Linked DNA regions of Macaca mulatta. The protein of the gene in region 2 purifies or fractionates together with the protein of the main gene of each other region. This does not show direct contact. Links are inferred from orthologs where the notes say so. Each region holds a gene or a part of one and is shown on either strand. Other genes may lie near its edges. The genes, in order: RIT1 and LZTR1.

Evidence for each region.
Region 1: the proteins of LZTR1 (region 2) and RIT1 purify together in Homo sapiens (affinity purification with mass spectrometry; 3 studies listed by BioGRID and IntAct, counting the BioPlex papers as one, with this or other methods). This does not show direct contact. The link is inferred for Macaca mulatta from reciprocal best matches to the Homo sapiens genes LZTR1 and RIT1.

The regions. Positions count from the first base shown.
Region 1 is NC_133406.1:111,056,089-111,059,898, reverse strand, and holds part of RIT1 (GTP-binding protein Rit1), read right to left. Parts: intron 3,294-3,810; coding exon 3,220-3,293; intron 2,992-3,219; coding exon 2,800-2,991; intron 1-2,799.
Region 2 is NC_133415.1:31,844,390-31,848,199, reverse strand, and holds part of LZTR1 (leucine-zipper-like transcriptional regulator 1), read right to left. Parts: coding exon 3,756-3,810; intron 3,610-3,755; coding exon 3,453-3,609; intron 2,732-3,452; coding exon 2,605-2,731; intron 2,515-2,604; coding exon 2,365-2,514; intron 1,756-2,364; coding exon 1,650-1,755; intron 1,566-1,649; coding exon 1,441-1,565; intron 1,318-1,440; coding exon 1,188-1,317; coding exon of another isoform or gene 1,102-1,187; 3' UTR 1-1,101. UniProt on the Homo sapiens protein: Substrate-specific adapter of a BCR (BTB-CUL3-RBX1) E3 ubiquitin-protein ligase complex that mediates ubiquitination of Ras (K-Ras/KRAS, N-Ras/NRAS and H-Ras/HRAS).

The DNA.
Region 1 (3,810 bases), on a different chromosome or scaffold from region 2:
CTCCCAAAGTGTAGTCTATTTTTAAGATACTTTTTGGAACAGGGAATAGTTATAGATATCAAACACACAACCTTAGTTTTCCCCATACTTTTTATTTTAAGAAAGATAAAGAGGCGGGACTTGGTGGCTCACACCTGTAATTCCAGAACTTTGGGAGGCTGAGGTGGGAGGATTGCTTGAGCCCAGGAGCTTGAGACCAACCTGGGCAATATGGTGAGACCCTGTTTCTACAAAATTTTTAAAAATTTTGCTGGGGCTGGGTGCAGCAGCTCACGCCTGTAATCTCAACACCTTGGGAGGCTGAGGCAGGTGGATCACTTGAGGTCTGGGGTTCGAGACTAGCCTGGTCAACATGGCAAAACCCTGTCTCCACTAAAAAAAAAATTAGCTGGGCATGGTGTTGGGCACCTGTAATCCTAGTTACTCATGAGGCTGAGGCAGGAGAATCGCTTAAACCTGGGAGGCGGAGCTTGCAGTGAGCTGAGATTGCGCCACTGCACTCCAGCCTGGGCAACAGAACCAGACTCCGTCTCAAAAAAAAAAGGAAAAAACAATTAGTTGGATGTAGTGGTATACACCTGTGGTCCCAGCTACTCAGGAGGCTGAGGTAAGAGGATTGCTTGAGCCCAGGAGGTCAAGGCAAGGCTGCAGTGAGTTGTGTTTGCGCCACTGCACTCCAGCCTCAGTGACAGAGCAAGACCCTGTCTCAAGAAAAAAAAAGTTGGGTGTGGTCACACACGCTTGTAATCCCAGCACTTTGGGAGGCTGAGACAGGCAGGCAGATGACCTGAGGTCAGGAGTTCAAGACCAGTATGGCCAATATGGTGAAACCCCATCTCTACTAAAATAGAAAACTTAGTTGGGTGTGGTGGCAGGTGCCTGCAATCCCAGCTAATTGGGAGGCTGAGGCAGGAGAATCACTTGAACCCAGGAAGCAGAAGTTGCAGTGAGCCAACATCATGCCACTGCACTTCAGCCTGGGTGATAAGAGTGAAACTCTGTCTAAAAAACAAAACAAAACAAAACAAAAAAACACTGGGCACGGTGGCTCACATCTATAATCCCAGCACTTTGGGAGGCCAAGGTGGGTGGATCACGTAATGTCAGGATTTCAAGACTAGCCTGGCCAACATGTTGAAACCCCATCTCTACTAAAATACAAAAATTAGCTGGATGTGGTGGCAGGGTGCATGTAATCCTAGCTACTCAGGAGGCTGAAGCAGGAGAATCACTTGAACTCAGGAGTCAGAGAGGCTGCAGTGAGCCTAGATTGCGCCACTGCACTCCAGCCTGGGCAACAGAGTGAGACTCCATCTCAAAACAACAAAATTAAAATAAAAATTAAAAAAAAAAAAAAAGAAAGAAAGCTGGGCACAGTGGCTCATACCTGTAATCCCAGCACTTTGGGAGACCAAGGTGGGCAGATCATGAGGTCAAGAGTTTGAGACCAGCCTGACCAACATGGTGAAACCTCGTCTCTACTTAAAAATACAAAAATTGGCTGGGCGCGGTGGCTCAAGCCTGTAATCCCAGCACTTTGGGAGGCCGAGGCGGGTGGATCACGAGGTCAGGAGATCGAGACTATCCTGGCTAACATGGTGAAACCCCGTCTCTACTAAAAATACAAAAAACTAGCCGGGCGTGGTGGCGGGCGCCTGTAGTCTCAGCTACTGGGAGGCTGAGGCGGGAGAATGGCGTGAACCCGGGAGGCGGAGCTTGCAGTGAGCCGAGATCACGCCACTGCACTCCAGCCTGGGAGACACAGTGAGACTCCGTCTCAAAAAAAAAAAAAAAAATACAAAAATTAGCCAGGCATGGTGGCATGCACCTGTAATCCCAGCTACTAAGGAGGCTAAGGCAGAAGACTCGCTTGAACCCAGAAGGAGGAGGAGGTTGCAGTGAGCCGAGATTGCGCCACTGCACCACTCCAGCCTGGTCAACAGAGTGAGACTCCGTCTCAAAAAAAAAAAGAAAAAGAAACACAAAGGAAGGGAAAGAGATATACGCTTACACTAAAATACTGAAAACTATTAGGAGCCCATAATTCATACATCTAGTTAAGGATATGCCATAATTTCTACTTTTGGATGGTTAGACTGTTTCTGCTACCATAAATAGACTTGCAATGAACATGTTATATACAAATTGCTAAGACTGTTTTCCAATGGAGATTAACAGAGAAGCATTATGAATTTGACAACTATCAAACTACTTCCAGCCAGGTGTGGTGGCTCATACTTGTAATCCCAACACTTTGGGAGGCCAAGGCAGGAAGATCACTTGAGTCCAGGTGTTCAAGATCAGCCTGGGCAACACAGTGAGAGCCTGTCTCCACAAAAAGTAAAAACAATTAGCAGGGAGTAGTGGCACACACCTATGGTCCCAGCTACCCTCAAAGCTGAATTGGGAAGATCACTTGAGCGGGAAGATAGAGGCTGCAGTGAGCTGTAGCCTCAACCTCACTGCAACCTCCACCACCCCAGGTCAAGGGATCCTCCCACCGCAGCCTCCCAACCAGCTGGGACCACATGTGCATGCACCACTATGCCCAGCTATGTTTTTTAGTATTTTTTGTAGAGATGGGGTTTCGCCATGTTGCTCAGGCTGGTCTCAAACTCCTGACCTTAAGCAATCTGCCCACGTTGGCCCCACAAAGTGCTGGCGTGAGCCACCTCACCCAGCCTGATTTTCTATTTTAAGGCAAAAAAATCTGTAAGCCAAGTCAAGAATCTGTAAGCCAAGAAACAAAAATGACTGATTGTGTAAGATTATAGACACTATTTTCTTCTCTATCCTCACCTGTCTTAGCTGTTTGAGGTCTGACTTGTTTCCCACAAGAACCACAGGTGTATCATCAGTACGTCGAACTCGATAAATAAGCTGTTTAAACTCACGAACTTCATGGAAACTTCGACGATCCGTGATAGAGTAACAGATGATAAACCCTTCTCCCGCCCTCATATACTGGTCCCGCATGGCTGTAAACTCTGCCTAGAGGGAAACAAGGATCATTATGTATTGACGCATTCTAGCGCTACTACACACATAATTAGCTATTTCTTTCAGATTAAAGAAAATGTATGTCCATTACCTGCTATCCTGAGTCAGAGTGCATGAAAAATTAAGAGAGATAAACTAGTGATCTTCTCTGCGTAGGCCTTCCCCTCCCCTTTACTAGAGTAAAAAAGCCTTTACTCATAACATTCTGGGATTTAATACCTGTCCAGCTGTATCCAAAATGTCCAGATTGGCAGGCTCATCATCAATACGGATCCTGATCTTATAAGCATCTTCTACAGGAGGGAAGAAAGGTGTACTATAAAGTCATAAATGCAGGAAGAAATGCCTATTTAAAACTCATCTTACAGAGTAGTACATTGCATCCAAATTCGTTAAATGCCCACATTTGCTCAGGAAGCATGCTAAATCCACTGAGATACATAAACTGAATCTTCAACTGAAGTTTTTTCTTTTCCACATAGGTGATGATGTAGTTTATTCATAGCTGAAGATTTCGCCTACAATTCTAAGCTAAAAAAGGATTCTGAGAAGATGTCTTTCTCAGGCCAGCTGGACACAGTGGTGACTGCCTATAATCCCAGGTACTTGGGAGGCTGAGACAGGAGTATTATTTGAGCCCAGGAGTTCAAGACCAGCCTGGGCAACACCGCAAGAGCTCATTTTTTTTTTTCTTCTTGAGACAGGGTCTCACTGTCACCCAGGCTGGAGTGCAGTGGTGCGATCTCGGTTCACTGTAGCCTTGACTTCTCAGGCTCCAGTGATTCTCCCACCTCGGCCTCCCAAGTAGCT
Region 2 (3,810 bases):
CTAGGGCGAGAGGGCAGCCTGCCTTCCACAGGAGCCAAGACCACAGTGCAGGGGCAAGGCAGGGCAGAAGGGGCAGGAGCCCACCCCAGGCCTCCAGGATTCCCCTGGGAGGGGCCAGCCTGGATGCCTTCATAGCCCTTCTCCCTAGTGTGACTGGGTGACCCCAGGTGGGGGCAGTTGACAGCATGGATAGAGACAGGTAAGACCAACTGACCTACATCTGGGGATCTGCTAAGCCATGGGCTCCAGAGCCAGTCCTCGGCTGCAGGAGGGCCGAGGGGCTGAGGCCAGCAGTGTTGGCTGGGCCAGCAAGGTGTGTGTGGTAGGTAGCACTGCTGTGGCTTTAATGGAGGCTTGTCTGTGACAGAATACTCAGCAAGGGACATGCAGGATTGGCTGGCTTCGTCCCGGCTGAGCCCTGACATGCACACAGGTGGACTGGGATCCTTCAGCCCCTGTGAAAACCAGGCCTGGCCCAGCACGACTGACCTGGGAGCTGACCTCAGGGCCCTTACTCCAAAATTCACCTCAAGTCAGGTGAGACCCACACATCATGGGTCCACACTCACAAGTTCCGGGTGGGAAAAGGAGCCCCTTACATGGATCTCAGTGAGGGTGGGCGGGACAGGAGCAGCCCAGGCAGATTCCATGGTGCAGCGCAAGTCTGCTAAGCCTCCCGCATGTTGGAGGAGCCTTGGTGACAGGCCCCAGTGCCTGGGTCTACAACACACCCAGGCCATAGGAGCCAGGCCAAGCACCACTGGGTGGGAGGCCCAAGGTCTCTCCCCACTTCCAGGTGGTGAGCCCATTACTGAGCCGTGGCCTCACATCCACATCACATCAGGAGAGGGTGATGACAGGGGAGGGGGTCTGCTTCATCATCTGCTATCATCTGCTCTCTGTGGGACCTGTGTCTTCAGTGAATTGAGGAGATTGGGGCCCCACATCCCCTCAGCTCTCTTTGGAGGCTCTGGGCACCCCGACTCTCGGCCTGGCAGGTGCACCCACTCTGCCATAGGCAGACGCATAGCCAGTAGTCTTCTCAGTGGGCAGGGCAGGCAGGCACGGCAATTCTTCACAATGGGCAGGCGCCACAGGGCCTCAGATGTCGGCGCCCAGCTCTGCACACTGCTTGTCTGAGATATGGGAGGCCAGGGAGTCTATGATGTCCAGCAGCAGCTGTTGGCTCAGCGACCGCAGCGTGGGCAGCTTGGAGACCTGCAAGGCAAGCAGGCCGGAAGGAGATGGGACCAGATCCACATAAGGGCCATGGTGGGCAGTGGAGCCCTCTGGGGCCCACGCTGCTCGGGGCTCAGGCTAGTCCCAAGGATGAAGCAAGGTGCAGCCAGTGGTGGGCTGCTCTGCTCGCTCACCCCCCAGGACCCACCACTGCAGGGGACCACAGAGCCTGGGCACCCCTCCCTGCCTGGGCGTGCCCACTGCTGAGGGGAAGCAAGTCCTGAAGGGGAGGCCAGAGCCCTGACCTTGGTGAACTGGTGCACGATGATGTGCAGGCAGTGCCGCTTCATGTCCAGCGCCTGCGTTTTGTCGGCTGCCTCCAGGATCTGTAATGGCAGGGACCTTGAGGCGCTGCCCCTTTCACCCACTCAGTGGGAGCTGCAGCCGTGGGCACAGGGCTGGGGGGCTACCTGCAGTACGTTCTGCACCGTCACATTCATCTCCAGGTTCTGTTTGCAGTACGCCTGCAGCCGGTTGTTGTAGAAGCCGTAGTAGTAGGGGGCCGCAAACAAGTAGCTGGGGCCTGGTTAAGGAGCTGACCAAAGGAACCTGGTCCGCCCACACCCTCCCAGGGAAGGACAGGGAGGGGCGCAGGTGGAGCCCCAAGCCCACCAGGGGCCAGACTCCAATCCAGCCCACACGCCAGCATGCTCTCTAAATGGATTCTGAACTACTCAGTGGGTCAAAGGCCCCACTGAGGATCCAAATACCATGAATCCCCTCCCCAGAAAAATACTGTCTGTACATCTGCAGCGCAATTCCATGGCCTTGCAAGCCTAACAGGCATCGTGACCCTCCATGTTTGGACCCCTACTGAAGTGACATAAGAGGAGTAGTTCCATGTCTGTGCTCAACTGTCACACAAAACAATGACCCACCCCATCCTCTGGGCAGTTGTGAGGGTCAGGAACCCACTGGTTCCTCCTGGCTGCAAACCCCTCCCTGCCAGCTGCCAGCTGCTTTGGAGAGCACCTGGCCCAGCTCCAGGCACCAGCAAATCCTCTGGAGGGAGGCGCTGGGCCCAGATCGCCTAGCTGGGGCAGGAAAGCGGGCCTCAAAGCCACTCGAGGTGGGTGCCAGGACCCCTTGGTGGGGACCTGGGAGTTCCTTGGGGAGTGAGGATGCAGCGAGTCCTCAGGCGGCATGTTGACCTCGCCGTAGTAGATGTAGCGCAGCATGGACTCAAAGGCCTGCCTGCTGGGCACCATCTCCCCGATGGAGATGTTCACCTGCCCGTCCTCGGGCATGAAGGACCGGAACATGGCTTCAAAGTAGCTGTAGACAATGAGCGGCAGGCACCCGGCTGTCAGCAGAACGAAGACACCATCCAGGCCCACCCTTCCCTCCCGTCCAGCCCCCACCCACCTGGAGCGGGCTGCCAGGATAGCCTTGTGGGCTGGCCGTGGGTGCCCATCCAGCAACAGCGTGATGTCACAGAACTCTGCGCCCGCCCCCTCCAGGTATGCCTTCATGTCCTGGATCAGAGATGTGCCTGGGGGTGGGAGGGACCCTGAGCAGGTACAGCCTGGGATTCTGGCCTTGGGGCGCCATGGCACTATCTTCCTGCACATCTGCCCATGTTGCCGCTCTGAACAAAACTTCACCCAGGCAGAAGGCTTCACTCTGGCCCTGAGGCACCATCAGCCACATTCTGTCCTCCCTCAGCGCCCTGGCCAACTCGAGCACTATGCCGAACACACAGCCCACCACCCAGCGTCTCATCTTCCACCCAGCCTGCTGTGCCCCCTTCGCTGCCCTCATGATCAAGCCCCTCCAGGCCCACTGCATGGCCTCTGGTGCCGGCAGATGTCACCAAGAGCCAGCAACTGGGGTCAGCACGACCCCCAAGGAGAGCTGGGGGAATGAAGGGGCCTGTGACATTATAAGCAAAGAGAAGTCCAGTGACTGATCACTGTGACCCTGGGCCATCAGACCTGACATCCCAGCCCAAAAGAGGTACCCATGTCCACCCCCAGAAATTGGCTCAGGAAATCCCAGCTCACCAGGACACAGCCCACTGTGGCAAGCCCCATGGGTTGGGGGCTTCTGCCTCCATCTGTTTCTGCCCTGTACCCAGGAGAGCACTCTGGGGTCCCATGGCACCCACCCCCACCCCGAGGGCCTGGCAGGTGCTCTCCATGGCTCCCAAGTCTCCTGCCACAGATGAACACCATCCCTCCCAGCCCCGAGGGAAGGGGAACGGGGCTCCCTACCAATGTCCACTGGCTGGTCCGAGGGAGTGCGAGGGGGTGGCTGCTGCTTCCGCCGCACAATCTCCACGATCAGCGGCGAGGAGAGGCGCTCGAACTCCTTCATCATGATCACCTGGTTGAAGTGGGACTCCTTCACCACGAAGTTCAGGCAGTGCTCCTGGGGCAGACAGGCACAGGCGGGCAGGCAGGCAGGGTCAAGCCAGGGTCCCAGGCTGGGCGAGGGGCTCACAGTGGTGGGCAGGGAGGGGGCCAAAGCCTGAGCACACCCCATCTGACCCCGATCGTGCTGACCCCACCCCACACCTTGAGTTGGCTCAGCTGCAGCCGGGCGGCACTCTCGCACACGACCAGCACGTTC